Linked DNA regions of Pelodiscus sinensis. The protein of the gene in region 3 interacts with the protein of the main gene of each other region in a pairwise test. Links are inferred from orthologs where the notes say so. Each region holds a gene or a part of one and is shown on either strand. Other genes may lie near its edges.

What was found.
Region 1: the proteins of CREB3L1 (region 3) and SLC35B4 interact in binary tests that used the Homo sapiens proteins (3 or more experiments, as listed by UniProt). The two-hybrid records come from large-scale screens. The link is inferred for Pelodiscus sinensis from reciprocal best matches to the Homo sapiens genes CREB3L1 and SLC35B4.
Region 2: the proteins of CREB3L1 (region 3) and PLP1 interact in binary tests that used the Homo sapiens proteins (3 or more experiments, as listed by UniProt). The two-hybrid records come from large-scale screens. The link is inferred for Pelodiscus sinensis from reciprocal best matches to the Homo sapiens genes CREB3L1 and PLP1.
Region 4: the proteins of CREB3L1 (region 3) and FXYD domain-containing ion transport regulator 3-like interact in binary tests that used the Homo sapiens proteins (3 or more experiments, as listed by UniProt). The two-hybrid records come from large-scale screens. The link is inferred for Pelodiscus sinensis from reciprocal best matches to the Homo sapiens genes CREB3L1 and FXYD3.

The regions. Positions count from the first base shown.
Region 1 is NC_134711.1:5,046,398-5,053,608, reverse strand, and holds the start of SLC35B4 (nucleotide sugar transporter SLC35B4), read right to left. Parts: upstream 3,019-7,211; 5' UTR 2,923-3,018; coding exon 2,846-2,922; intron 1-2,845. UniProt on the Homo sapiens protein: Antiporter that transports nucleotide sugars across the endoplasmic reticulum (ER) membrane in exchange for another nucleotide sugar.
Region 2 is NC_134723.1:4,500,385-4,507,439, forward strand, and holds the start of PLP1 (myelin proteolipid protein), read right to left. Parts: upstream 3,021-7,055; 5' UTR 2,870-3,020; coding exon 2,866-2,869; intron 1-2,865.
Region 3 is NC_134714.1:83,758,368-83,766,362, reverse strand, and holds the start of CREB3L1 (cyclic AMP-responsive element-binding protein 3-like protein 1), read right to left. Parts: upstream 3,007-7,995; 5' UTR 2,547-3,006; coding exon 2,439-2,546; intron 1-2,438.
Region 4 is NC_134734.1:6,495,972-6,502,793, forward strand, and holds the start of FXYD domain-containing ion transport regulator 3-like, read right to left. Parts: upstream 3,020-6,822; 5' UTR 2,877-3,019; coding exon 2,830-2,876; intron 604-2,829; coding exon 513-603; intron 1-512. UniProt on the Homo sapiens protein: Associates with and regulates the activity of the sodium/potassium-transporting ATPase (NKA) which transports Na(+) out of the cell and K(+) into the cell.

The DNA.
Region 1 (7,211 bases), on a different chromosome or scaffold from region 3:
ACGGAGGATGATTTACCTGCAGCCTGCTCAGGTGACGTTTCAAAACATGACACACACACAACTCAGGTTGGTTAACTAGATTCATATGGATGTCTTTGTGACGTGAAGTGTGAAGCTTTGCTAACCAGTCACCTCTCTTCTTTGTAAGTGGTCATCTTAGGCTCTAATCCTGCAACTGGATCTACACAACTCAGTCCGCTGTATAGAACAGGGGTGAGAAACCTTTTTTGGGTTGGGGCCTGCTGGCCCACAGAAAAATCAGTTGGGGGCCACACATGTGCTCCAGCCCCGCAGTGGAGTGGCTGGGTGGGGAGGGAGGCCCTGAGCCTTATGGGCTGGATAAGTTAGGGTTTGCATCTGGCCCCGGGCTGCGGTTTTGCATCCCTGATATTGAACCTCAAGGCTCCGGGGCCTTATTTGGTTGACCGATGGCCAGAAGGCTTGAAAACCAACATTCGGTCTGTGTAGCTCGAACGCTTATGTCTCTGACCAACAGAAGTTGGCTCAGTACAAGATATTACCTCACTCACCATGTCTTTCTAATATCCTGGGACTGACAGCTACATGGGTAGGTCTGTGTCTAATGGAACTGCCCTTATTGGTAGCACAGGGAAATTTGAGGGGGAAGGGGAGAAATTATTTTCCTCAGTATGCTGCTGGTAAAACGCATCTTTCTATGAACTGTGCAAGGCTACCAAGAAGTGCAGTCCTGGTTTAACCACTGTACGATTGGAAGTAAAATTCTTCTCTTGGATCAGTGAGGAGCTGACTTTGTAACGGAGAGGCAAATTCACCTCAGAGAGGGCTTTTTCTCAGGGCATTGCTAAAGGCCCTTGATACCCCACACCGCACCTTGCTACTCATAGTTTGGCTTTCTTCTGATTGTAGCGTTGATTCTGAAACTTCATGGCTTTCCACGTTTTTTTTTGATAACCAGAAAATCCTTTTTGAGGTTTTTCATTCTTTTAAGGAGGAGGATCTCAGCTCCGGCCTATTAAAACATTGCCACATGCCAATAACCCCGCACAGCACTCTGCATTTGTAAACACCACAGGAACTTTCAATATATACCAGGTAGGTACACTGGTGTGCTACTGATGGGGAAACCGAGTCACAGAAAGAGGCAGTGACTTGCACCGGAAGCAGAGCAGTGGTGCCAGATCTCATGATTTTACTATGAGTCCCATGGTCTTTTTAGTGCCCGAGCTCCTTGAGTCATGGGAATACATTCACATATTTTGTTTTCATTGACACCACTTAAATTTGCAGAGAAAAGCTTGGAAACATGACTCAAGTGTACCCTAAAGCAGGGGAGGGGGGTGTTTCCAGACCCCTGAGCAAGAAAGTCACAGTGCAGTCATGTGTCAGTGCAGCCAATCCCTTAGCAACACCAGCCCAGGTACCCCGCTGCCTCCCCCACCACCAAGCCCAAAAGCCCTGCTCCCTCCCCCCGCCCCAGCCCAGAAGTCACATCAGGCATCCCTGACCCATCCCCAGAGAGGGATGCCAACTCTCCAGGACTGGCCAGGAGTCTTCCAGAATCGGTGTCAATCGCCCAAGGAAAGCTATCCTGGAGGTTTTAATAGGCTATTGTAAGAAAATGGTCTCTCTTCTCTCTCTTTCTGTATGTGAGAGAGAGAGAGAGAGAGAGAGAGAGAGAGAGAGAAGGGGGGGCGGGGGGGAATCTCCCAGGATAACTTCAGTCAGAGTTGGCAACCCCTAGCTCCAACCCCATCCCAGCAGCCCTGCCCCCAGCCCTTAGCCCAGGAGCCCTGTCCCTGCCCGCCCCCTCTAGCCCAGGAGCCACACCAGGAGCCCTGCTTTCTCCCCCCCCCCCCCCCCCAGCCCCGGGGCCCAAGCTCAGGAGCTCTGCCCCCCGCCCAGCAGCCCTCCTCCCCCCAGGGACCCCAGCCCCGCAGCCCTCCTCCCCCCCACCCCACCCCCCCAGGGGCCCCAGCCCCGCAGCCCTTCTCCTCCCCATCCCCCACCCCACCCAGGGGCCCCAGCCCCGCAGCCCTCCTCCCCCCCATCCCCCACCCCCCCAGGGGCCCCAGCCCCGCAGCCCTCCTCCCCCCCATCCCCCACCCCCCCAGGGGCCCCAGCCCCACAGCCCTCCTCCCCCTCATCCCCCACCCCCCCAGAGGGCCCCAGCCCCGCAGCCCTCCTCCCCCCCATCCCCCACCCCCCCAGGGGGCCCCAGTCCCACAGCCCTCCTCCCCCCCCAGGGGCCCCAGCCCCGCAGCCCTCCTCCCCCCCATCCTCCCCCCCCCCAGGGGCCCCAGCCCCACAGCCCTCCTCCCCCCCATCCTCCCCCCCCCAGGGGCCCCAGCCCCACAGCCCTCCTCCCCCCCATCCTCCCCCCCCCCAGGGGCCCCAGCCCCACAGCCCTCCTCCCCCCCATCCCCCACCCCCCCAGGGGCCCCAGCCCCACAGCCCTCCTCCCCCCCATCCCCCACCCCCCCAGGGGCCCCAGCCCCACAGCCCTCCTCCCCCCCATCCCCCACCCCCCCAGGGGCCCCAGCCCCACAGCCCTCCTCCCCCCCATCCTCCCCCCCCCAGGGGCCCCAGCCCCACAGCCCTCCTCCCCCCCATCCCCCACCCCCCCAGGGGCCCCAGCCCCGCAGCCCTCCTCCCCCCCATCCCCCACCCCCCCAGGGGCCCCAGCCCCACAGCCCTCCTCCCCCCCATCCTCCCCCCCCCAGGGGCCCCAGCCCCACAGCCCTCCCCCCCCCAGGGGCCCCAGCCCCACAGCCCTTCTCCCCCCCCATCCCCCACCCCACCCCACCCCACCCCACCCCCCCAGGGGCCCCAGCCCCGCAGCCCCCCCCAGGGCCCCCCCGCGCACCTGGCCAGCAGCTCCAGGAACACCACGTTGCTGCAGCAGCCGCCGAAGACCAGCCCGACGGCCGCGGCCAGGCGCATGGTGACGGGCGGGGGGCTCCCAGCGCCGCGCCGAGCCGGTCCCGGCGCCACCTCCCCGGGGAGCAGCCGCCGCCCGCCTGTAGTTCCTCCCCCGCCCGCCGGCCGTGCCTCGCCACGGCCGCTCCGCCCGCGGGGGACTACAGCTCCCAGAAGCCTCCGCGCGGCCCCGCCGACGCCGGCAGCTTTGCAGCGGGGGGTGATGGGAGTTGTAGTCCCAGGGCTGCTGCCGCGCCCCTGGCTGAGCCCAGGGCACGAGGCGTGCTAGCAGCGGCAGGGGGTAGGGCGAGGGGCAGGAGGAAGGGGGGTGCTGAGGGCAGAGCAGCTCCCCACGAGGATTTCAGGACCAGAGCTCACAGCCTGGCTGCCCCATTCTCCCACGCTCGCCCCACTGGGCACCTTCTGGGCTGCACGCTGCCCCCCACTTGGAGGGGGTGGGGGGCTCTGGCAGAATTCCCACGCCCCTGAGTTTTGCTCAATGATTGGCTGAGGCTGATCAGAGAGACGATTAGCATTAAGGAACACGACTGCCCGTTCAATGCCGACCGCGTGCTCGGTGCTGTACGGCGCTAGACACAACTTTCCCACGCCGCCCCCTTGAACTGACCATAGTGCGACAGTGGGGACTGTGTCGGCTGCTGTCGTCACTCTGATTTGTATGCACTCAGTTTGCTTTTTGTTGTGCTTTATGTGATTCTACTGTCCTGTGCTGTTCTGTAGTAACTCTGTGTGTGTGTGTGTGTGTGTGTGTGTGTGTGTGTGCGCGCGCACCTCAGTTTCCCTGGGCACTGCAGCACTATCTGCATGAGGAGGGGAAGGCTCGGCACGACTCACTGTGGAAGTATAAACGTAAAAAAAAAATAGTCTCGTAGCACTTTAAAAGACAAACAAAACATATAGATGGCATCATGAGCTTTCATGGGCACAGCCCATTATGCAGTCGCTCATGTCCTGAGGCCCAGGTGACCACAAATAACACCTTGGGCCTGGAAGAAGGACCAAGGAGGAGGCGGGGCTGCTGGGGCGCTGGGAGCAGTGGCTGTGAGTGAGAGTTAGTTTTCGGCTGGCTGGAGGAGAAGGGAACCTAACTGGCCGGGGGCTGGGGCTTTCCCCAAGATGGGCTGCGCTGAATGCTCCTGGTTCCTGTAACAACAAATCTGAGCCACGCTGTGAACCAAGAAACTTTCTGTTTTACTTGCTGGCTGAAAATCACATCTCACTGCGGATGGGGTGCAGGGCCCGGTGACTCCCCCACACTCCATGACACATAGCCAGGGGCTTGATGGGCCCTTTCGGGAATCAGCATCCTGCTGCCCCACATCTTCCACCAAAGGCTCCAGGCCCGGAACTGTCTTCCTTCACTTCTCACCAGGGAGCATCCTTTTATTGGAGAATGGACAGACCCCATTGCAACAGCCCGTAATTCCAAAGAGCTTAGAGTACGGGGGAAGAAACCAAAATGACTCCAAAAACATGGAGATATAAAATCTTCCCCAGTCTAAGATTTGAGCAATGGTCCCTCAAGGGGCCTGATCTAAAGGCTACTGAAGTCGTAGGAAAGATTCCTTTCGACTGCAATGGGCTTTAGATCCGGTGGTGAATGGCGTGAATTAGCAAGAATAAAATCCTTCATTTTTAGAGCGTGGTGAGATCGTTCTGACCCTCTTTCCTTAGAGTCTAGGACTCCCAGGCTATGTCTACACTCGCGGCGTCTTGCACAAGAAATATGCAAATGAGGCTAAGCGTGGAATATTGCCGAGCCTCATTTGCATACCTAATGAGCCACCATTTTTGCAGAAGAGGCTCCTGCGCCAGAAGGAGCTGTCTACACTGCCCCTTCTTGCGCGAGAAAAACCCTCTTGCGCAACGCCGTTATTCCTGAAAATAATGGGAGTAATGGCATTGCGCAAGAGGGTTTTTCTTGCGCAAGAAGGGGCAGTGTAGACAGCTCGTTCTGGCGCAAGAGCCCCTTCTGCAAAAATGGCAGCTCATTAGGTATGCAAATGAGGGTTGGCAATATTCCACTCTTAGCTTCATTTGCATATTTCTCATGCAAGAAGCCCCAGACGTCTGAACCATTGTGTGATTACTAAAACAACAAGGAGTCCCGTGGCACGTTAAAGACAAACACTTTTATTGTTTTTTAAGTTTTTCCAGTTACAGACTAACTCGGCTACCCCTCTGAAACTTTTATTTGGGTCTAAGCTTTCGTGGGCTGGAGTCCTTATTCAAACTTGAGTGTAAAGTGTCAAATTTAAGCATGTTTGAATAAAGACGCTAATTATCTTACCCATTACAAAGATAGCTTCCCCAATTATCACCTCTAATACCATTAGCTCACAGACATTTACCTCCCCCCTCCCCCCGCATTCCCCTTCTGTTCTGAAATTTGATTTGTCCTTTTCATATGTGGTCATTTTTTTAATTGTATCCTTTGGTATATATGGTTGTGACAATTTTCTTCCACTATTTGATCTGAGGAAGTGGGTCTGGCCCACGAAAGCTCATCATCTAATAAACCATCTTGTTAGTCTTTAAAGTGCTACATAGTCCTGTTTTTTGTTTCTGCAGTATCAGTCCCTCTCCCTCACCAAAGTCACCAGGTTCGCTGCCTGCCTCCAAAGGGACAGAGAACACATCAGCCTGTTCCGTGAGCTGAAGACTTACACCTGGCAGCACTGCGCTGGTTCTGTAACAAATCAAGAATAGGTTTAGCAACAAAGACCAGACATTTACATGAGACTAACATAAGAGAAAAAGAGATGGGTATGGTTACAAATAAAGCAAAATAAAACACACTTTCCCATGACTAAAAGGTAGTCTTAGCAAGTTACGATCTGTGCCTAAGCCGGTTCCTTTCTTACATCAAGTTACCAGCATCCTTAGTCCTCTAGACTAGGGGATCCTGCTTTCACCGGGGGTTGCTCCTATGCCCCCTAAGTAATGGCTTTTCCCCCCTTCGACTTATATTCAGGGATGTGAATGGGTAACTTGGTAACCGGTTACCCAGTGAGCATGGGTGATGCTTACCGTGTAACGGTTAACTGCTACCCGAGAGCAGACTCCTGCACGCGGTCCGTCAGTCTATGTGGGCTGGGAGCTGTCAGCCTCCTCCCCCCACCCTGCTGCTACTTCTGGCCCTGTGTGAGGCTGCCGACTCCCAACCCACACAGACTGTGAGCTGGCAGCCAGCTGGAGAAGCCGGGGCGTGGCTGGCAGTGAGACCACTCCGGCCCAGTAGGGTGGAGTGCCCCCCCCAGCGGCCCCCATTTAATCTGTTAACCAGTTTAACTAGCTCCATAATTCAATGGGATTTTACATCCCTACTTATATTTCCCTCTTTGATTTGTCTCCACAATCGGGATGACTTCCTGTTGTCCTTCCCTTTTTGTGAGTTTTTCATTCCCCCGCTGGTTCAGATGTAAGTAAGGCTCCCATTGCTTTGATTACATAATGCTTAATTGAAACTGGAGACAGGTTGATAGCTATCTTCAATCCTTGCTGGAGCACAGACTTTTAAGTCGTAATATCAGGAGCATCTATAATTCAGCATTGAGTGTTAATACATACACGATATTAACCACCAGTGTGGGGTGATAGGCTATGCATGATACATTGCTATAGCACAGTAATGTTGTATACCAGGGCTACTCAACTTTGGAAACTCTGGGAGCCACAATGATACTCACAGCAGTGTTGTCTTCAAGTCGTCATTGTCAAGTCCAAGTCGAGTCTCAAGTTACTACAGTTCAAGTCTCAAGTCGAGTCTCGAGTCCCTAAAGTCACTTTCGAGTCAAGTCCCAAGTCGAGTCTCAAGTCTTAATTTAAAAAATGTCAAGACACTTTTGTACAAGCCATCAATATCGGCATTTTCAGACAATTTTTTCACCAAGTCGATTTAACAAAATTAGCGAGTCTCACGTCACAAACAATGAACCCGAGTTGAGTCTCAAGTCAAGTCACCTCGGCGACTTAAGTCAGATTCGAGTTCAAGTCATGGGACTCAACAACTCTGACTCACAGCACATACTGAAGGCCGCAACTTAAGTGTGGTTGCATGTACATGCAAATATATATGCAAATATATGCAAATAGATTCTTTCACACTGACAGGTATGAATACAAAGATGAAGGCAAGACTACACAACATGCAGGCCCCATTGAAGTCAGTTCTCCTGATATTAATAACATGCAATATTTACCGAATTCCACCCATGTGACGGCACTTTTAATGCGCAATGACAGTCCAGGAATTTAACTACTAAAACACATCTCAACAGACGACCATTATA
Region 2 (7,055 bases), on a different chromosome or scaffold from region 3:
CGGGATTTCCACGAAATACCCAAACCGTGGCTGCCCGCCCTATGAATTGCTGTGCACTAGTGAGACAGCTGCCGTGTTTTGCCCCAGAAGTGGCTGCATATAAGTGTGGGGTTGGAGGTCTAAAGTGATCATCTGCCTAGCTGGCCACGTGCAACGCACTCTGGGATCCGTATAGACCTGCGACAATCACACGTCCTAATTAGATAGCACATTTCTTCGGAGGACCTCAAAGCACCTTCCAGCCTTGAATTAACTCACAGCACAGCCCTGTGAGGCAGGCACATTGTCATCATCCCTGTGACCCAGAGGGGAAACTGAGGCACGGGACGCACAGTTGTGTGCCCAATATCACACCACACATTAGGTGCCTAGCGGGGATTGGAATTCTAGGTTCCCGGCTGTGTGTATTAATCACCACACCATGTCACCTCCCTAAAGATATACAATTTAATCACTGTGGGTTTGTCTGGACCAGGGGTGGGGTCCCCTTAGGATCATGAAGTTACTACCGTACTACTGGGGGGGGGGGGGTCATGAGCTCACCCTCCACCCCACTTTGCCTCCAGGATTGATAATAGTGTTAAATGTCTGAAAAGTGTTTTGAATCAATGGGGGGGGGGGGGGGGGATGATGCTCCGCAGCTCGCTGTGCGAAAGGGGTCACCGGCTCACCCCACCAGTCTACACTGATGTGCAGGGGTGTGACTGCAGCTCACGGGGACCTACCTGCGGAAGCGTTAACCCAGCTAGTTTGGCTCCTGGAGCAGCGCGCCGCCAGCCCTGCAAGTCACTAGCCAAGGTCCCGGGCAGGCCTGTGTGGCCCGCGCTGGAGGCAGAGGCAAGGTTAAAGCAAGCTCAGGACTGGTCCACACAAGCTGCTCTCAGACCCTGTGACAGCTGTATAGCTACCCCGTATTCCCCGCTGGCTGGTCTCTCCTGCTGTCCTCCAGCCCCGTATTCCCCACTGGCTGGTCTCTCCTGCTGTCCTCCAGCCCCGTATTCCCCGCTGGCTGGTCTCTCCTGCTGTCCTCCAGCCCCGTATTCCCTGCTGGCTGGTCTCTCCTGCTGTCCTCCAGCCCCGTATTCCCCACTGGCTGGTCTCTCCTGCTGTCCTCCAGCCCCGTATTCCCCCCTGGCTGGTCTCTCCTGCTGTCCTCCAGCCCGTATTCCCCGCTGGCTGGTCTCTCCTGCTGTCCTCCAGCCCCGTATTCCCCCCTGGCTGGTCCCTCCTGCTGTCCTCCAGCCCCGTATTCCCCCCTGGCTGGTCTCTCCTGCTGTCCTCTAGCCCCGTATTCCCCGCTGGCTGGTCTCTCCTGCTGTCCTCCAGCCCCGTATTCCCCGCTGGCTGGTCTCTCCTGCTGTCCTCCAGCCCCGTATTCCCCGCTGGCTAGTCTCTCCTGCTGTCCTCCAGCCCCGTATTCCCCGCTGGCTGGTCTCTCCTGCTGTCCTCCAGCCCCGTATTCCCCGCTGGCTGGTCTCTCCTGCTGTCCTCCAGCCCCGTATTCCCCGCTGGCTGGTCTCTCCTGCTGTCCTCCAGCCCCGTATTCCCCGCTGGCTGGTCTCTCCTGCTGTCCTCCAGCCCCGTATTCCCCACTGGCTGGTCTCTCCTGCTGTCCTTCTGCCTCACAGGTCAGACGGCCCGTCGGCAGGGCACATACCCACGCAGAACTGACGAGGTCTGCTCCATACCAGTCTCCTGGCAGCAGAAATCCACAGTATCCCCCTGCATCCCAGAGAGCTCCCTCCAGTGCCTCCCTGCCTGGCAGTCCTGCACAGGCCCCTGCACCTGGCCTGAAAGCAGCTCCAGGAACGGAGCCAGCTCGTGAGGACTCAGGGAGTCGGAGGCACTGGGGTCACATCATTGCTGAGCCAGCCCCCAGGAAGGGGGAGGGCAGGAGCCAAAGCAGTGGGTCTCTCGGAGCATGGAACCCACTGGGGTTCCTCATAAGCCAAGCACATGGGTGGCTGCCCAGGAGAGATTAGCAGAGATCAGGTGCTGCCCAGCTGATTAGCAGCACGCCCACAGCCTCCCACAGCTGGCAGCACGTTTCATCTGGTGGTGCACATCTGCACATGCCTTTGTACACGTGACAAAATTTATTCTGCACATGGGTGGAGAAAGTTTGAGGGAACCCTTCTGGCGGGGGGGGAGGGAAGGGTTGGCCAGGGACATGATCTGGGAAGGGTTCTGTGTCTTACAAAGTGCGCTGCTGACCCCACCAAGCACATCGCACGCACACCGGGGATTTTGAGAGCGAACCGACAAGGACACTAACATTGGCAGGAATCTCTGGATCAGACGATTTCATATCAGCCCCATGGAGCCGCCCCGGCCCTGGGATCGGCAGGCTGGTTTCCAAGCCGATCTGTGCACATGGATTCCAAATGGATGCATAATTCAGCTTTAAACAGAGATCCCATTCCGACCACTGCCACGGGGCAGCTATTCACCGTCCCACAACACCAGCAGGATTTCCTTTCCACGCTGGGAGGCAGATCCCACCTCTGGCAGCTTCCCTCTGACCGGCTGCTCCTGTCTTGTCCCGCCAAGGAGCTGCCTACTAGTGTCAGCTCCTTGGTCTGCACCTGCCACAGATGAGTAACAGACCGGGCTAAGTTGGACACGGGAGGGCACCGTGGCTCCAGGCTTCTGGCAGGACGGCACCCATTGTCAGTTACAGCCTGGCACCTGGCTGGGACTCTCCAGGCACTTGCTGATCCAAGGCCCTTAAAGTCCCACCAGCGTGCGGGGAAGGGAAGTTTAGAGCAAATATAACACCAGAATTAGCACCCCCCCCCAAATCTTTGATTTAAAAAATCCCTTTTGTGTTAGTTTGAAAGTTTGGAAAGTTCCTCTCATACTCACCCATTGTGTCTGGGCTCAGTCAAGTCCCTCTCACCGCCTTCCCTTTTGTGCCTCTCTTTGTTCAGCCCGAACAAATCCTCTCTCTTCGCTTTACTTTTGCTCTCTGAATATCTCTGGCCTCCTCTCCCAAAGAAAAGGACTTTCTGATTGACAGCCAGCCCCCTTAAAGGGACAGACCACCCTTTTCTCCTCCCCCTCCTCCCATTCTCCCTCCCCTCTCCCTCCCCCTCATGAGAGCTACTCCCTCTGCTCCAGGGTAGCTCGGTCATACCCAGGGGTGGCCCTAGACGAGCTGCCAGCAACTGGCACCCTAGGCGAGCCATGCAATCGGCGCCCCCCCTCCAAACCCCTCAATGATATCGCAAAACCATTTGGAGCCCCATTTAGCTTGGCGCCCTGGGCGACTGCCTAGTTCGCCTATATGGACGGGCTGCCCCTGTTCGTACCCTGATGCCTCAGGCTGCCCACTTCTCTCTGCCACAGGTCGGTGCGTTTCCCTGCTGCCAGAAAGCCGGCACGCTGGCCCCTTCGCCTGGGCAGATCAGGCAGCTCTGCAGCAAAGTCCGTGCTTTTGGGAAACTCTTAAAGCACCTCCAAGCGTTTCTAGTCGTGGCCTCTGAAGGGACGAGCGGGTTGGATTTGATTGCATTGGCCATGGGTCTTAGCCGGGACACACAGACACAGAGCTCACCTGGGCAGGGGTTACATGTGGGATGCTAATTACTGTGACAGGGCACAGGTGGCTGAGCTCTCCTGGCCATCCCACATCCCCACTGGTGAAGAGTTTATAACCAGCCATAAAACTCCCCACCAGGCCTGGATCCGGGGACAGAAGCCGCCGCTCCCACAAGGGACCCAGGTGTAACTTGGTTTCTGTGATCAGAAGCTAGCACCAGGCGTGGGTCCCTACCCTTGGGGCTTGGTGGCTTGGATTTGGCACCTGAAGGTTCAAACTCAAGCCTAAGATAGTGAGAATCGGGGTCACTCGGTTTCAGGGTGCACTGGAAGGGAGGGGGCCAGATTCCATTTCCCCCCTTCAGCTCCTGAGTCCAGTTTTAGGGAGACCACAACTTTCCTGCCCGGGGATAAGGGAGCATGAAACGTGCCGCCAGGGGATCTGCTGGGGCTGTATCTCCCTAGGGAAACAGCATCACACAAGAGCTGGTGTAACACGGCGGAGTCAGGGCTGGGCTGGCCGCTAGCCGCTAGCATCCTGCTCCTCCACGCTCACTGATGCTTGACCGTCTTATGGGCTGAAGAATGCCGGGCCGTGCGGGCTCTGGGGGTGGTCCTTCTGGGCTCAAGAGATCAGTGGGACAGTAGGGCAAAGCTGGCGCTGCCCCACCGTCCCTGGGCTGTGGGTGGGCAGGATCCAGACCTGCCAAGCCAGCCCCACGCCCCAGCACTAACTTCAGCCAGGAAGAAAAGTGCCAGTGCTCCAGCCAGTCGCTTGTGGGAAGCCTTCCAGCCCTGCTTGCCGAGGTGACTTCGAATGGGGGCAGATCTGGCAAGGACGGGGGGATGTGCCTAGTGGTCCCCACTTGTGGGACTCCCTGCTGTAGCTAGAGGCTGCCCCCCGGCACCTCTCTGGCAGCCAGCTGGAAAGCAAGCAGCAGCGGGGCTGTCTGTTGGGTAGGGCGAGTCCCCTCTGGGGCCAGGTGGAACGTACAGCCCCTCGCACTAGATCTCCCTGGGGATCAGCCCCCCGCTGTCTGGATGGGCTCCTGTGGATCCCAGCGACAGCTTCCCCATGTCCCCCCAAAACCTGGACCTCTGGGCAGACCCTGGGATTCCTCCTCCAGGAAATGAGGCGCCAGCAGCCGCAAGCCCTGGCCATCACGCCCCTCTCTGTCCCCCTCCCCCGGTGCCCTGTCACTCCAAGTCCCCACCCCACTAAGACCCCCCCGTTCCCTGCAGTGCTGCCAACGCGGAGGGAGGCCAGCAGAGGGCAGCGTGGCCCTGCCAGAGGCCGCCATGTGCTCTCCGGTGGGCAGGGGGGAACAAGGCGGGATTGTCCGAGGCGGATCCATCTCTCGCCCTCTGTGCCAGGCTGGGAGGTGGGAAAGCCTCCGGCTCTGCGCTTTGCTGAGCATCAGGACCTGGCCCGGGGCCCATGGCTGCAGCAGCCCCGGACAGCACACCTCGGACAGGCACCTGGCCCTGCCTCCGCGCTGGATCTCAGCCGGGGCAGGAGCGGGAAAGCGCTGAAGGTCGCCGGGGCCGGGAAGGCCAGTCCCGTGGGCCCGACCCTGCCTGGCCCGCAGCAGCAAACACTCGGCCTGGCAGGGGGAGTTTTTCCCGCCGCCCCCACGGCTGTGCCTCCCCCATACGCACAGGTCGGCTCGTATGCAGTGGGGAGTTCCCATCCAGCTCTCCTGGCATCCCCTGGCACTAGAGAGGTCGGCATCCCCCCCCATTTAAATAGCTGTGTCCGGTCCTTCCCCCTCCAGCCAAACTGCCCACCCCCGCCCCACCAGGGGTTAGTGTTGGCGCAGGCCTCTGCTCCTAGCCGAGCGTTTCCCAAGCTCCGGGGCTTTCCCTCTGCGGAGAGGAGAAAACCTGGCCCTGGGAGGTGATGTGGTGGGGCTAGTCCTCAAGAGCCCCTCCCGTGTCACGAGCCACGTGTCCCGCACCACGCAAGGCTGCAGCCACAAGAGCATCCCAGAGTCCCGGCTGGGCCTTGTTACGGTGTGGTCGGTGTGGGTGTCTGGGAAGGGCCGACTGCCTGGGACAAGCCAGCCACCAACCAATCCCAGGTTCTGTCCCTCTTCCGCCTCGATCCCTCTAGGGCTGCTGCTCTGGGCGGGATGCTGAAGCCGGCAGTACTGGGGGGGTGAAGACAGGGCGAGACAAGCCAGCTGAGAAAATGAGGGACCACGAGAGCGAGGGAAGGCAAATAATTCCAAGTCTCAGCAGCCACCCCAAGCAGTCAGGCCCCACGCTGGGAGAGGATGGGCGGAGGGAGATGGCTTTGAGAGGTTCTGCTGTTTCTCATTGGTGGTTCCCCCGACATCTGTGCCAGTGAGAGCTCAGAAGATCTCCCCACCTGCCACCCCCCGACAACTGGGGATCCAGCCGTGTCCCCTCTACTCCCTGTGCCAGCCCCGGCACTAGCAGCCCTGGACGGGGAGGTCAGCCACTGCCAGTGACCACACACGAGGCCGGGCTAGCAGCATTGACACTGTCTGGGCTCGCGTGCAAACGACACTAATCTGCTGGGATGCAGACAGGCAGGTGGGGAGCAAGGGACCTTCTAAAGACATGCTGGATGTGAGGGGCGGCTTTGCCTCCAAGGGGACCTTGGTTCCTGGCCAGAGACACCGTTGGCTTGATCCTGTGCACGTGCAGCTCCTTCGGCTGGGCTCTCGGTAGAGCCGAGCCGGAGACTTACCTAGCAAGACCACTGCTCCCCGAAGAGCTGTGTACGTGGCCAGGGCAAAGGGCGGCTGCAACGGGGCAGGTTAAGGATGCGGCTGGTAGCCTGGATGCTTTTCTCAGCGATCCGAGGTGGGGAGCAAAGCCGGGCCAGCAGCCCAGGAGGGAACGGATGCGGCTCGGTCCAGCCACACGGAATTCCAGGCCTGGGGACTCAGAAGCAGAGCGGACGCTCTCCAGGGTCCAGAGAGATTCCAGGTTCAGGGCCTCCGGGGGCCGGTGTTACTCCAGGGAGGGAAATGGAAAATTTAAGAGAGTTGATCTCAGCTCCCACCCCAGCGCCTCTTGCCAGCCTGCCAGTTGGGTTTGGTGCCTGCTCTTGCAAAGGGTTTGAGCTTCCCATGCGAAAAGCCTGTGGCAATGTGGGAGGATTTCGGGGGCAATCAGGCACCCTCCATAGCACGGCAGGTGTCTCCTCAAGGCCTTGCCAAGAGCCGCAGGCAGTTTTCTGCAGTTTTCTCAAAGGTACCCTAAGGGCTTTCCAAAGCAATGAGCTAGACACGGGGAGTGCAGCGAGCACGTGGGCAAACACAGCCACCATTATGTGCCCAACAATAGCTCCCACACCGCCGTGGCTGTTCAGATCTGCTTCCCCGAGCAAGGGAGCGCTGGCCAGGATCTTCCGGCTGCCCCCTGCTCTTTGCCCGGAGTTGGGTGGGATCCTTCCTGGGCTAAGGAGCGCCCCATTACGGCTCCTTGAAGGACCGATCCCTCCTGTTGTGCAGTCCTCATGCATCAGCGCTGGGGGAATCCAC
Region 3 (7,995 bases):
TAATATGCTCATCTCAGTGAACAAAAGGAACATTTTCCATGGACACCTTTTCCCTTGTGTGTACCCATCCAAGCACTGATTAGACCCAGCCATGTTTATGCTTTTTAAACTAGATATCAGTCATCCTCTGACAAATAACACTGTTCTCTTTCAAACATCCCTTTTCAAACACATTAATTTATTAATTCCAAGATGCACCTTAGACCTATGATCCAATTATTTCATCTTGTAACAGACTTAGATTTTATAAACTACTGCTTAAGTGACAAGATGATTAACTAAAGAAGGTTACTGTTGCAGGAAAGGGTTCTTAGTGAACTCAATGCTCACTCAACTTCTTTAGAGGGAACTACATTTGCTGAGCATTACATGAAGAGTCTCCATATTGAACCTCATCTCTCCCTCCAAAGAAAAATCATTGACAGTTTTAAGGATTACCATGCAACCCTAGTGCTTTGATGTTAAGTACAATACTCTGAAAAGCAACTATGTAAAAATGAGATCTTCTTAATCAACAGATCCCGTCCCATTAAGATTTGATGGATTTCCTAAAGTTAATCTTTGCTCCTTTTTATGGCAGTTTTCCCTGCAGATCCACTACACAAAGGGTGAATTAGATTCCAGTACATTCTGGCTTTGGTATCATCAACAGATTTGTTATCTGCACTAAGATTACAGAATCTTTATTGTTGATCCTGCACAAGAACAAAGAGTCTCAGATCCCCAGGGTAGTCTGTGGTGTAAATGGAAAAAAAAGTTTTTACTTGTCAATTGAGCATAATAAATCTAGAGTCACTGAGAAATAATGAAAATGGATGACTCCTCAGGTCAGTTTTACAGTCACTGCCAGAACAGAGATGGAATTTAATCAGTCAGGAAATTAACACAATGCATATGGTCAGTACACATTTGTAAATATCATGTCATGGTGGGTATCACTGGATGAGGCAGTAGGTATAGTCTATTTGATATAGTTAAGTTATACAACTCCCCTAATGCGGCTCCAGATATAGTGGCATAAAAATACATATAATGATTTATATTATTCTTATATAAAAATAAGCTAATTTGCTGCAAGGGACTTTTATATTAGAATAACTTCATCCCATCCAAAGGCTTTTACCAGTATTACTGAGGGGGCGGCAGAGATCCCACTCCTAATTAAAATAATTACACAAGTAAAACTTTCAAATGTATGCAGACCAGGTCTTAGGTTGAGAACAAATGTTCTGTCTTGAGAAGACCTGCTGTGCGTGGGTTAGTTTTGGCATGCAAAGATTCTAGGTAGAATGAGCTGTGTAAGCAGAAGAAGAATTTACTCTCAACCTAAGGGTATGTCTACACTGCAATTAGAGGTATGCCGTCTCCACTCATAAACAGTAGGCTAGATGTGCTCTATTTAGCTCAAATAACTTATAGAAGACTTGCTGCAGTACAGGTTAGTCACTCCAATATATCATCAGGGTCCCTTGCTGCTGGAATTCACTGATATTGATTGAGTTAGCTAGATCAAAGGTAATTTAGGCATGTGTACATGTGCTGCAGTCCCTCCATGATGTTGACATATCCTTTGTCTCTAACTGGAGTCAATTCTTGAGACAGGCCATGGAGAGGCCTGAAAGGAGGTATTACTTCCATGCTGTTTGTGACCATCTCTGTTCCAGGACTGGTGTACATGTAAATAAAACATGTTACACTTAGAACAAACCAGATTCTGTGTCACTGTTTTATCTTTTACTGGGACGATAACCCCAGATAATCCAAAGCTACATTTGCTCACAAACAACAAAGTTTGAATTCCTCATCTGGGATAACGACCTCCTATGGAACTACTGTACATGTGAGTTACATGACATGAGTACACAAAGTCTGGACAATCTTCTTAAAGACAAATACTCTCTTTTGACACACTAAATAGATCTAGTCCTAGTTCACTCGTCCTCCCCCTAAAGTAAATCGCTACTGTGTTAGCCAAGCAACAGATGTTTCACCCCCAGGTCATTTTACAAAAAGCAGGTAAGCAAGGGAAATAGCAGCAGAAGGGCTGCCCCCACAGCTTTAGGGTCTCCACTCTCCAGTGCAGTTAGAGTGGGATGAGTTAATTATGCCACGGAATTACACCCCAGGACCTGCTGCGGGATCCCTATTAGACACGGTTTCAAAAACAATGGCATGGATCTTACTAGAGGGGCTGAGACGACCGATCCCCTAGAGGAGGTGCCAGGAGTTGTGTGTGTGTGGGGGGGGGGGGAGCTCCAGAGGACTTGAGCTGGCTGAGCTTTGAGGCCCAGGGGGCGCTCAGGACTGCAGCCAGGTGCAGGAAAAGGGGCGCTGCGCTGCCCAGGCTCCCGGCACGAGTAGGAGCCGTTTGGCGGGGAGCCCAGGACAAGCAGGACGAGCCCAGGCAGCCCCCGCCCACCGCCGGCCGGCGCCCTTACCACATTGCTGAGGAAATCCGCTTCGTTCAGGTCGCCCAGGTCCAGGAAGCCGGAGCCGCCTCCGGGGAAGAGGCGCTCGGAGGGGAAGGGCTCCAGGATACTGTCCATGGTGCCGGGGTTAGGTGCGGCGCAGAGCCGCCCTCCCGCCAGCGCGGCGGGCCGGAGCCGGGGCGTCCTCGCTCCCTCCGCAGACCCGCCAGGCTCGGAGTTACTCCCGCGCCGCCCGGTGCAGCCGATGGCAGGGCCCCGGGCACCGACTGCACATGGCTCCTCCTCCCAAGGGACGGCGGCAATCCATAGGGCGCGGGGGCACAGGGGCTCCCCGGAGAGGCGGGGGCTGCTGGGGGTCCCCCGACGGCTGAGGACGGGACAGGGGGGCAAAGGTGCCACGCCTGGGGCTGGGCAGATCCGAACCCCCCGGGCGCGGGCAGGGGCCCGGGCTGCCTCCTGGAGCCGTGCAGGAGGAAGGCGGGGCGGTGCACTCCGCCGGGACTCCCCTCTGCCCAGCTGTCACTTTCACACTCCGCCGAGGATCCCCAGGCTCAGCCGCCTGGCCGGCCTGGACATCACGCCCCCTAGCTCATGAATATTAAAGGTTCTGCGAGGCAGCACTCCCCTCCTTGATCAGCCTCTTAAGGAAGCTCTGGTGCAATGCCCTGCTCCTCCCTTGCTCTCACACTGACAGCACAGAGCTAGGGACAGTGGGCGCATCCTACCCAGAGCCAGGGCAGGGAACTGGGCTCGTGGAGGATCTGAGCAGCTATCAGGCCCCAGACAGCCTGGGGGACAACACAGACAGAAGCCATTGTGGGGAGATGTAAGAGGGAGAAAGCTGTGAAAGACCATTGCATGCAAGAGTGGCAGCCAGGCCACGGCTGACTGCTCCGCCTTTGCAGGGCCCAGTGCTAATGTGTGTCCCCAGCACAATCTAGAACTTCTCCTGGACATCCCAATGACTCTGACAAGGACAACTTCTGCAGCACCACATTAGGGCACTGGGCTCTGTACTCCCAGAGAGCATCTCCTACTGAGGGATACCAATTGCTACAGCACAAGGTTCCCTACCACTATTATGGGGATGATACACTAGGTGGCACTCTTCTGAGCCAGTAGTGTATTTCCAACACCCTAGGTCAGGGCTACTCAACTTTGGAAGCCCCGGGGGCCACAATAATACTCACAGAACATGCCAAGGGCCGCAACTTAAGTGTGGTTGCATATACATGCACATATATATACAAATAGCTTCTTTCACACTGATGGGCATGAATACAAAGATTAAGGCAAGACTACACAACACACAGGCCCCATTTAAGTTGGTTCTGCTGATATTAATAAAACGCAATATTTACCAGATTTCCACCCATGTGACAGCACTTTTAATGAGCAATGACAGTCCAGGAATTTAAATGCTAAAATGCATATCAACGGAAAACCACTATATTGATTATTTTTTTGCTTTGGCTCCCACCCGCAGGCCACATGTTGAGCACCACGTAAACCCAAACCACATCATGGGCTGCAAACAAATGGACCGTGGGCCACATGCAGCTCATGGGCCACGTGTTGAGTAGCCCTGCCCTAGGTATTCCTTTCATTACCTTAGAACAGGGGTGGCCACATTTACTGACTGCCAAAGCAAGTTCACTGTTAAACATCTGCCAATATTTTATCCTAAGATAGCCAAGCCTAGCGTCAGCTTAATGTTCATGTGACTACTTATTGCCAATTACCCTCAGCAAAAGTCAGTGCAGGGGGGCCTGTTAGCAGCATCCCATCTTGCAGCTCTGTAATTAAAGATTCAGGCACCATTTAAGAGCTTCAGGAAGATTATATGTCTTCAAATAAACAGGATTATAAATCCCTATCCCCTCTGATATTCACTCTGATGAACACTTAGGAAAACCTCTTAGAATAATCCTGTTGAAGCAGTTCTGGTATCCCTCAATCCCTACCCTCATGGCTCAGCCAGTGTAGCCCAAAGAATCCTTCATCTATGTCTGGGGAACCAATTCTTCAGAGAGAATGAAGGTGCATTTCTCCCAAAGGACACTTGGCTGCCAACTTCCAACTACAAGAATAATTTAAAATGATGAAATTGACCAGTAGGAGACAGGCGCTTTGGGGACACTTGCGTTTGTGTCAGACTTTGAGATGCCATCAACAACTGAAGGTTCATAGTCACACTCTTTTCTTGATTCCACCAGGTCTCAGGGCTAATCCTAAATCCTAAAGACCAGAGAATGTCCCTCACACTAGTCCCCATGTGCAAATTCTCTGCACATATAGCCTATGTCTACACTACTAGGTTATTTCAAAATAAGTTATTTCGAAATAATAACTCCTGAAATAACTGTTTCAAAATATGCTTATTCCTTTTCACAAGCAGGAGTTATTATTTTGAAATAACAAGCCCATTATTTCAAAATGACAGGGTTGGTAGCGTGGATGCTCGCCTTGTTATTTTGAAATAAGGGGAGTTATCTTGAAATAACTCCCCAGTGTAGACATGCTCCATAGTGTGAGCGAGAACCAGGGCTTATAGCCACTTTAAATTACATTTGCTCTCACTTTCCCAATCCCTTTCTGCTGCCCATGAGGAGTAAAGTGGCCTTAATGTAAATGAAAATCATAGACACAAATAGTGAGCAGAGAATTGGGCTAGGATTCCAGAAGACTTTCAGCTTGTCACTTACATCAAGAACAAAAACAAGAAGGTATTTGGGACTAATTGTTTAACACAGGAAAAAAGGAAGAAACTTGCAATGTCCACAGTGCGTACTTCATAACCACTACAAGGAGACAATGGAAACAGAACAAAACAAAACAGAACAAAAACCTTACACTCCCCGTCCATAGTCTCTGGTAACAGAGCCACCTCAGATCCAGCTCTCTAATGTGGGGACACAGGGCTACACATGGGCAGTATGGCTACATTACACTTTGTCTGGTGAAAGAGTCCCTTCTTGATGGTTTTAGAGGTCTGCTCATGTGGTTCAAAAGCTAGGAGAAAAGGGCTCCACTCGATCCTTCCCAAGGAAGCTGGAAATATCTATTCTCCTCTTGCAGTGGTATGAGTTTCCTTAGGGCTTCTCTGACCTTCTTCCCAGGGCACCCATTTGCTCTCAGAAGACTGACATTTATTTCCTCATCACTTCTGGTGCTGCCTAAAAGAATGAGTAGTCCAGCGACAAGCACACTGGACTACACTAGACCAGCAAAATGCATAGCTGGATTCGGCTTACCTTAAGCTGAGCCACTGCAGCATCTAAACAAGAATGATTAAAGAGCAACAAGAATGATTAAAGGTCTAGAGAACATGACCTATGAAGGAAGGCTGAAAGATTTGGGTTTGTTTAGTTTAGAATAGAGAAGATTGAGGGGGGACAGGATAGCCGTTTTCAAGTGTCTAAAAGGGTGTCATAAGGAGGAGGGAGAAAATTTGTTCATCTTGGCCTCTGAGGATAGAACAAAAAGCAATGGGCTTAAACTGCAGCAAGGGAGGTTTAGGTTGGACATTAGGAAAAAGTTCCTAACTGTCAGGGTAGTCAAACACTGGAATAAATTGCCCAGGGAGGTTGTGGAATCCCCATCTGTGGAGATATTTAAGAGTAGGTTAGATAAATGTCTCTCAGGGATGGTCTAGACCAGTGGTCCCCAACACGGTGCCCGCGGGCGCCATGGCGCCCGCGGGGGCATTTCAATGCGCCCGCCAGGTGCTCGGGGCTGGCCTGGCCCCGGGCACATGGCGCATGGGCGCTTGCGGGGGGAGCGCCGGGCGCGCGGCACTCGGCGGGAGGCGGCGGGGGGAGCGCCGGCCCCGGGCGCGCGGCGGGGGGAGCGCCAGTCCCGGGCGCGCGGCACTCGGCAGGAGGGGGGGGAACGCCGGTCCCGGGCGCGCGGCACTCGGCAGGAGGGGGGGGAATGCCGGTCCCGGGCGCGCGGCACTCGGCGGGGGGGGGGGGAGCAGGAGCGCCGGCCTCGGGCGCGCGGCACTTGGCGGGGGGGGGGAGGAGCAGGAGCGGCGGCCTCGGGTGCGCAGCACTCGGCGGGGGGGGGGGAAGGAGCGCTGGCCTCGGGCGCGCGGGACTCGGCGGGAGGGTGGGGGTGGCGGGGAGCGCCGGCCCCGGGCGCGCGACCCTTAGAGGGGGCCCTGCCCCCGGGCATGCAGCTATGGGGGGACCCCGCCCCCGGGCGCGCGGTAGGTGGGGCCCCGCCCCCGGGCGCGTGGATGGGGGGGCGCCCCCGGTCCCCGCCCCCTGGCGCCCGGCGGGCAAACGGCCACGCCCCCTGGCGCCCGACAACCTAAAAAGGTTGGGGACCACTGGTCTAGACAGTATTTGGTCCTGCCATGGGAGCAGGGGACTGGACTCGATGACCTCTCGAAGTCCCTTCCAGTCCTTGTATTCTATGATTCTATGATAAACTGCAGGAGGCCAATGGGCTCACACACTCCTGTCCAGGCTTCCCTTACTCCTCTCAGAATGAGGAGCACAGGATGCTGGTGGGGGCTGCCCTCAGCATTTGATTGGGTGGTCTACACTAGATCCACTAAACTGAACACTAGAAGATCGACCTCTGGAGGGTTAATCTTCTCCATAATGTTTACAAGCCCTAGGAAGAGGGCTCTTTCCCCTGCCCTTCTCCCTAAGGATTAGGGTTGTTCATGGGTAACGTGTATCAGTGAAACTGGGGATGGTGGTAGTAGCAGAACTGAGGGCTGAAACAGCAGTGCTAGTGTCAAGACTGAGGTGCACTGGTAGAGCTATTATAGGGGAAGCTTGCACTGTTCCTGCCCTCACTAACCAAACCCTCATGTTACTTTTATAAGCACTAAACTTCACACCATGATTTTTAAAACCAAATTACTCTGAATTGCATAAAGCCTCTCTGATCCAGTTTTTCACCTAAGTTAGTTTAAGGAAATCTCCTTTCAGAATCACCCTTTTCATACAGGCGGGGTGCATGTATGAGGCAGAGCTACTGTTTGTATTCACCAGGTAGGCGTGTCATCAGAAAAGGTCAAGCAAAGTAAACGTGACTTGTTTGTCTGAATTGCAAAGGAAAAACACTTCAGCACATTCAAACAGGGACTTCTCCATCCTAGAGATTAAAAATGTCTCAGGAGAAAAAGTCTGTCAGCTCAAAGATCCTGCTTTGTATTTACACTTTTTTTCTAAAACATAAATGTTCTAAGCTCATATTCCCCTGGGGACAGTGCTGTATATCAGTGTTTCTCAACCTTTTTTAATAAAGTACCCCTTCAAAAAAATTATAAGTATCCCCCAGTACCTACAGTTTTCAGACACACACAATTTTTTTTCTGTCTTTGCAACATGTTTGTTTAAACAACTTAATCGCAGCCGGGCAGGTGATGAAATTTTTGGGTGTAAAAAGTACAAAAACAATAAAACACTGTAAAACCTAAAACAAAAATTGAGTTTTCTCCAAATTTCAATTGTGTTGACGTACTCCCCAGATTTCTCTCAAGTACCCCTAAGGGTATTCATACCACTGGTTGAGAAACACTGCTGTATATAAACAGATGAATGATCAT
Region 4 (6,822 bases), on a different chromosome or scaffold from region 3:
AGAGGATGGGGGGCTCAGACTGGAGCAGGGGGTTGGGGTACAGGAGGGGGGTCAGGCTCTAGACTAGTTCCAGGGCAGGGCCAGAAATGAGGGGTTCAGAGGGCAGGAGGGGTTTCTGGCTGGGGTGCAGGTTCTGAGGCATGGCTGGGGACGAGGGGTTTGGGGTGCAGGCTGGGACTGAAGCGTTTAGAGGGTGGGAGGGGGATTGGGGTGCAGGAAGTCCTTGGTTGCAGGATCCACAGTTACCTCAAGCAGCTTCCAGAAACAACAGTATGGCCCCCAGCTCCTAACTGCAGGCTTGGCCAAGTAGCTCCATGCAGCCCATGGGAGCGGTCTGGCTGGTGCTGGGGGTGGGGACAGTATGAGGAGTCTGCCCCAGGCACAGGCGCTGGCGGGTGGACCTGAGGCTGCCCAAGAGCCATGCAGCCCCCCCCCCCCCCCCCAACCAGGCTTTTAACAGCCCAGCCTGTCTCCCCAGACACTCAGGTGGAAACCCAGCACCAGCCCCCTACCTGCCTGGGGAGCGTCCTGCCACAGGTGAGTTCCCCTCCCCCGCCAACGCAGCCTCTGGCGCCTCTGGATTTGTCTGGTTCCATCCACCAACTGTCAGCACAAGCTCGGCCTGTGTGGGCTGGGGAGGGGGCCAGTGCAGGCAGCCCCTCCCTTCCCCGGGGAGAACCCAGAGCCCTGCTCCCAGCCCCACACCCCTCCCCTCCCCCGGGAGAACCCAGAGCCCTGCTCCCAGCCCCACACCCCTCCCCTCCCCAGGGAGAACCCAGAGCCCTGCTCCCAGCCCCACACCCCTCCCCTCCCCCGGGAGAACCCAGAGCCCTGCTCCCAGCCCCACACCCCTCCCCTCCCCCGGGAGAACCCAGAGCCCTGCTCCCAGCCCCACACCCCTTCCCTCCCCGGGGAGAACCCAGAGCCCTGCTCCCAGCCCCACACCCCTCCCCTCCCCGGGGAGAACCCAGAGCCCTGCTCCCAGCCCCACACCCCAGAGCCCTGCTCCCAGCCCCACACCCCTTCCCTCGCCAGGCTGGGGAGAACCCAGAGCCCTGCTCCCAGCCCCACACCCCTCCCCTCCCCAGGCTGGGGAGAACCCAGAGCCCTGCTCCCAGCCCCACACCCCTCCCCTCCCCAGGCTGGGGAGAACCCAGAGCCCTGCTCCCAGCCCCACACCCCTCCCCTCTCCAGGCTGGGGAGAACCCAGAGCCCTGCTCCCAGCCCCACACCCCTCCCCTCCCCGGGGAGAACCCAGAGTCCTGCTCCCAGCCCCACACCCCTCCCCTCCCCGGGGAGAACCCAGAGCCCTGCTCCCAGCCCCACACCCCTCCCCTCCCCGGGGAGAACCCAGAGCCCTGCTCCCAGCCCCACACCCCTCCCCTCCCCGGGGAGAACCCAGAGCCCTGCTCCCAGCCCCACACCCCTCCCCTCCCCGGGGAGAACCCAGAGCCCTGCTCCCAGCCCCACACTCCTCCCCTCCCCGGGGAGAACCCAGAGCCCTGCTCCCAGCCCCACACCCCTTCCCTCCCCGGGGAGAACCCAGAGCCCTGCTCCCAGCCCCACACCCCTCCCCTCCCCGGGGAGAACCCAGAGCCCTGCTCCCAGCCCCACACCCCAGAGCCCTGCTCCCAGCCCCACACCCCTTCCCTCGCCAGGCTGGGGAGAACCCAGAGCCCTGCTCCCAGCCCCACACCCCTCCCCTCCCCAGGCTGGGGAGAACCCAGAGCCCTGCTCCCAGCCCCACACCCCTCCCCTCCCCAGGCTGGGGAGAACCCAGAGCCCTGCTCCCAGCCCCACACCCCTCCCCTCTCCAGGCTGGGGAGAACCCAGAGCCCTGCTCCCAGCCCCACACCCCTCCCCTCCCCGGGCCGGGGAGAACCCAGAGTCCTGCTCCCAGCCCCACACCCCTCCCCTCTCCAGGGAGAACCCAGAGTCCTGCTCTCAGCCTCAGCCCCAGCCCCACACCCCTCCCCTCCCCAGGCCGGGGAGAACCCAGGAGTCCTCTCCCAGCTGGGCTCTAGGAGCAAGAGGGAGCCCAGGGCTGGGCTGGCAGGAGTCCCAGGCGGATTCCACAGTCAGGGTGTGTCCCCAGCCCAGGGCCTCAGCAGAACAGGACAAGCAGGGCCAGGGTGGGGGTCATAGAAACTGACCTCCTAGAGTCTCCTCCTTCTGCCCTGCCTCAGAGTCCTGAGGGGCACAGAAAGCATCTCTCTTGCCCAGTGAGGGGGCTGGCTGGAGCTGGGCACCGTGGGGCCCAGAGTAAATACATTTGTAGGTGAGCCCCAGCGCCGTGACACATTGGCCTGGCCTGGCCGGGGTTGTGTTCCTGCTGCACTGCAGCACCCGCAAGCCTGTGCCAAAGGTTGCTTTCGAGTGCCAGGCGCCCAGCCATAGGGACCCCAGAATGCTGGTAACTCACTGAGCAGCCCCTCAGCCACCACTGACAGGGGAGGGGCAGCCCCAGTCTTTTATGGGCATGTCATGGGACATATTGCACCCTCTCTGGCCTGCCCCCCAGGCACTGCACAGTTCCCCTCCCCCCAGACCAGCAACCCTCTTGCCAAAGCTCTGCACAGTCCCCCTTCCCCCAGACCAGCCCCAGACACTGCACAGACCCTCTCCCCTCAGACCAGCACCCCCTCTGTTCCCCTTCCTCCAGACCAGCACCACCCCAAGGCACTGCAGAGCCCCTCCCCCTAAGCACTGCACAGACCCCCCCCCCCCCCCGATCAGCACACCCCTCCCCTGCCAGGCACCACAAAGACACCCCCACTTAGTCCCATATCGGCACCTCCCCTTCCTCCAGATCAGCACTTCCCTGCTCACCTGGTTCCATACAGACCCCTCTCAGATCGGCACCCCCCAGAATCCATCCTGTAGCATTTTAACTTGCCAGAGCACAGATTATCCTGCCCCTCCCCCCTTTTACAGAGGGGCAAACTCAGGCACTGAGCACAGGGGTAGCAGAAGCAAAGCCAACAGGAGAATCCGGGCACTGAACATGTCAGCTCCCAGGGTAGCCTGCTCACACAGGGCAGCTAAAACAATAGCCCTGGATCCTCAGCCCAGCTGGCAACTTACCCAGAGCAGAGCAGCCACAGCAATCAGGCAGCAGAGCTCAACTCTCCTCTGGCCCTGCTGGCTAAGTAGGGCAGGGCCCAAACCACACCCAGGCAGGTGGAGACAGGTCTGGCAGCCTGGGCTGGGCGAGGGAGGGTTGGGCTTAGATCCACAGCCTCAGGCAGCAGCAGGAATCTGGCAACCCCTGGGGGCCCAGGCACCAGGCAAATGAGTTTGGAGGCTGCTGCATGGCCCCTCTTGTGTATCAGTGCAGCAAAGGGTCAGTGGGGGCCAGGTCTCCTGGCCCCTCTCCCCAGATTGTGGAGGGGGATCTGGTGGGTTAGAGCAGAGCTCCTGAGTTCTTTCTCTGGCTCTGGGTTAGATGGACAGGGAGCTAGGGCCCTGACTTGTAATCAGTGCTTTTGGGAGGTTGTGGTAATACAACTGCAGGATTATACAGAGGGGCTGTGTCTAGACTGGCCAGTTTTTCCAGGAAATCAGCCGCTTTTCCAGAAAAACTTGCCAGCTGTCTACACTGGCCGCTTGAATTTCCGCAAAAGCACTGACTTCCTACTGTAAGAAATCAGTGCTTCTTGCGGAAATACTATGCTGCTCCCATTCGGGCAAAAGTCCCTTTTGCGCAAAACTTTTGCGCAAAAGGGCCAGTGTAGACAGCTGAGAGTTGTTTTCCGCAAAAAAGCCCCGATGGCAAAAATGGCGATGGGGGCTTTTTTTGCGGAAAAGTGCAACTAGATTGGCACAGACGCTTTTCCACAAAAAGTGCTTTTGCAGAAAAGCGTCCATGCCAATCTAGATGCTCTGTTCCAAAAATGCTTTTAACGGAAAACTTTTCCGTTAAAAGCATTTCCGGAAAATCATGCCAGTCTAGACGTAGCCAGGGTTAAAAGCAAAGTTCAACGAGGGATGCAGGGGCTGTGGGTCAGGAGTGAGGGGCTCCGGCAGGGCTGTGGGCGGGACCCAGGGGGCGGCCAGCATTGGGTTAGCAGGGGGCTCCGGGATGGAAGTGAGGGGGCCGGCAGGTGCTGTGGGTTGGGAGTGAGGGACTCCGGGAGGGCTGGGCTGGCGGGGGCTGTGGATCGGGAGTGAGGGGCTCTGGCAGGGAGCCCTGGGCTGGGAGCAGGTCCCAGTTGTCTGTAGGTTAAAAACATTCCCAACCCTCTCTGTCTCTGCGTGTCGGATGCTGACGTTACTCTGAAGTGCGAACCCTGGCACGGCCTAGCCCAGGGAGATAAAGGGGGAGGGCCAGTGCTGCCGTCCATGTAGGCTGGAAAAGGTTAAAGAGATGGTAACAGGTACCTCCAGCCCTGCCAGGAGAGCTGGGGAGCCCCATTCCCTCTAATAAGGGGAACTGTTGAGGGTAGGATGGAGCCAGCTGGGAGACAGGATTCCTGGCTTCTCTCTCCAGCTCAGGTAGGGAGTTGAGGTCTAGGGGTTATAGCAGGGGCAGCTGAAGTCCTGCTCCTAAATACTAGCCCAGAGCTGCCTTTCTGCAGCTGCAAGGAGAACCCAGTCATAAGCAGGAGGCACTGGGCAGCAGGGAATGGGGCAGGGGCTCAGCAGGGAACACTGCGCTGCAAGGAAGAGGGTGGGGGCCCACCAGGAGGTTCTGGGCTGCAGGGAGCAGGGGGCTCAGCAGGGGGCCCTGGGTTGCAGGGAGCATAGTGAGGGCCCCGCTGGGGGTACTGGGCTGCAGGAAGCAGAATAGGGTACAGCCCGGGGCACTGTACTGCAGGGTGGGGGCTCAGCAGCGGGTGCTGGGCTTCAGGGAGCAAGGTGGGGGCACAACGGGGGGTGCTGGGCTGCAGGTAGAAGGGTGAGGGCTCAGAAGGAGGTGCTGGGCTGTGGGGAGCAGGGTGGGGCCTCAGCAGGAGGTTATGGGCTGCAGGAAGCACAGGGCTCAGTAGAGGCTGTTGGGTTGTGGGGCTGAGCAGGGTCACTGGGCTGCAGGGAGGGAGCTCAGCAGGATATGCTGGGGAGCAGGGCAGGGACCCAGCAGGGGGTGCTGGGCAGCAGGGAGAAGGATGGGGACCCAGTAGGGGGTGCTGGGCTGTGGTGAGCAGGATGGAAGAATGGCTCTTGTGAAAAAGGGGATCTTTGTGCAAAAAGGTGCCATCTACATTGCACTTTTTTGTCCAAAAACCTCTTGAGCAAAAGGGAAAGGACGAGGAAATACAAATGAGAGTGCTGCATATGCAAATGAGTGCTCCATTTGCATTTGCTCTTCTGCAAGAGGCTTGTAATATAGACAAAGCCTTTGAGTTTAAGATGCTTCAGCCCCTGCCTCCCCCCTCTAATCCAGGTTATGTCTAGACTACAATGATCTATTGGGAAAAGCTTCAGGGGGTAGCTGAGTTAGTCTGTGCAGGATAAACTTAAAAAACAACAAATGGGCTGGTAGCACTTTAAAGACTAACAAAACATGGAGATAGGATCATGAGCTTTCGCTGTCATCTGAAGAAGTGGGCTGTGCCCACGAAAGCTCATGACCCCATCTACGTTTTGTTAGTCTATAAAGTGCTACCAGACCATTTGTTGTTTTCAAAGTTTATTGGGAAAAGGCACACAAATTGTGCTCCGCAATTTGCAAACTTTTTCATGGAAGGAGGAAGACAGGGCTTTGGAAAAAGCGTGTCTGGTCTTCTGGAAGAAGAGAGAAAAAAAAAGCACAGACATGTCCCCTGGACATGGCACAGTTTTTCTGGGAAACCCCCATAGTCTAGATGTAGCTCCAATGCCCCACCCTCTCCCCCGGGGCCTGGCACCTCCAGACCGCCTGCTCTAACCCAATGTCCTCCACTTCCCTCAGAGCCAGGCACCCCCAGCCTCCCTGCTCTAACCCAATGCCCTCTGCACCCCCAACCCCCCACTTCCGCGCTAACCCAATGCCTGGGTCTCATTGGAGCTGCCGCCACAGCCATGCACTTCTGCCTGTAGGTGCTGTGGCATGTGTGCAGAGCGGCTCAGAACTAGCAAGAGCCACATTGCTTTGAGCAAAGAGCCACATGCAACTCAAGAGCTGCGGGTTGCCCACACCTGGGCTGGGTGATGCAGGGGGAGGGGAAGGGTGGGCGATGCAGGGAGTTGGAGAAGCAGTGGGCCATGCAGGGGGTAGCGGGAGAGGGTTGGCAATTCAGGGGGTAATGGGAGGGAATGGGGGATGCAGGGGGAGAGGAAGGGGGGTAATGCAAGGGGAGGGGAAGGGTTGGACGATGCAGGGGGTAGCGGGAGGGGACGGGTGATGATGTGGGAGGGGAAGGGGGCAGGCAGTGCAAGGGGAGGGGAAGGGTTGGACGATGCAGGGGGAGGAGAAGGGGGTGGGTGACACAGAGGGAAGGGAAAGGGGTGGGCGATGAAGGGGGAGGAGAAGAGGTGGGCGATACAGGATTAGGGGTAGGGGGTGGTCCATGCAGGGGGCGGGGGAAGAAGGGGGAGGAGAAGGGGAAGCAGGGGGAGGGGTGGGAGGGTGATGGAGAGGAGTTGCAGTGGCTGGGTGATGGAGGGGGAGGGGAAGAGGTGGACAATGCAGGGTTAGGGGTGGGGGTGGGCCATGCTGGGGCCGGGGAAGGTGATGATGTAGGGGGAGGGTAAGGGGCAGGCAATGCAGGAGGAGGGGAAGAGGGTGGGCCATGCAGGAGGGGAAGAGGTGGGCGATGCAGGAAGAGGGTGGTCCATGCAGAGGGAGGGGAATGAGTGGGCGATTTAGGGATAGGGGAAGGTGTGGGCAATGCAGAGAGAGGG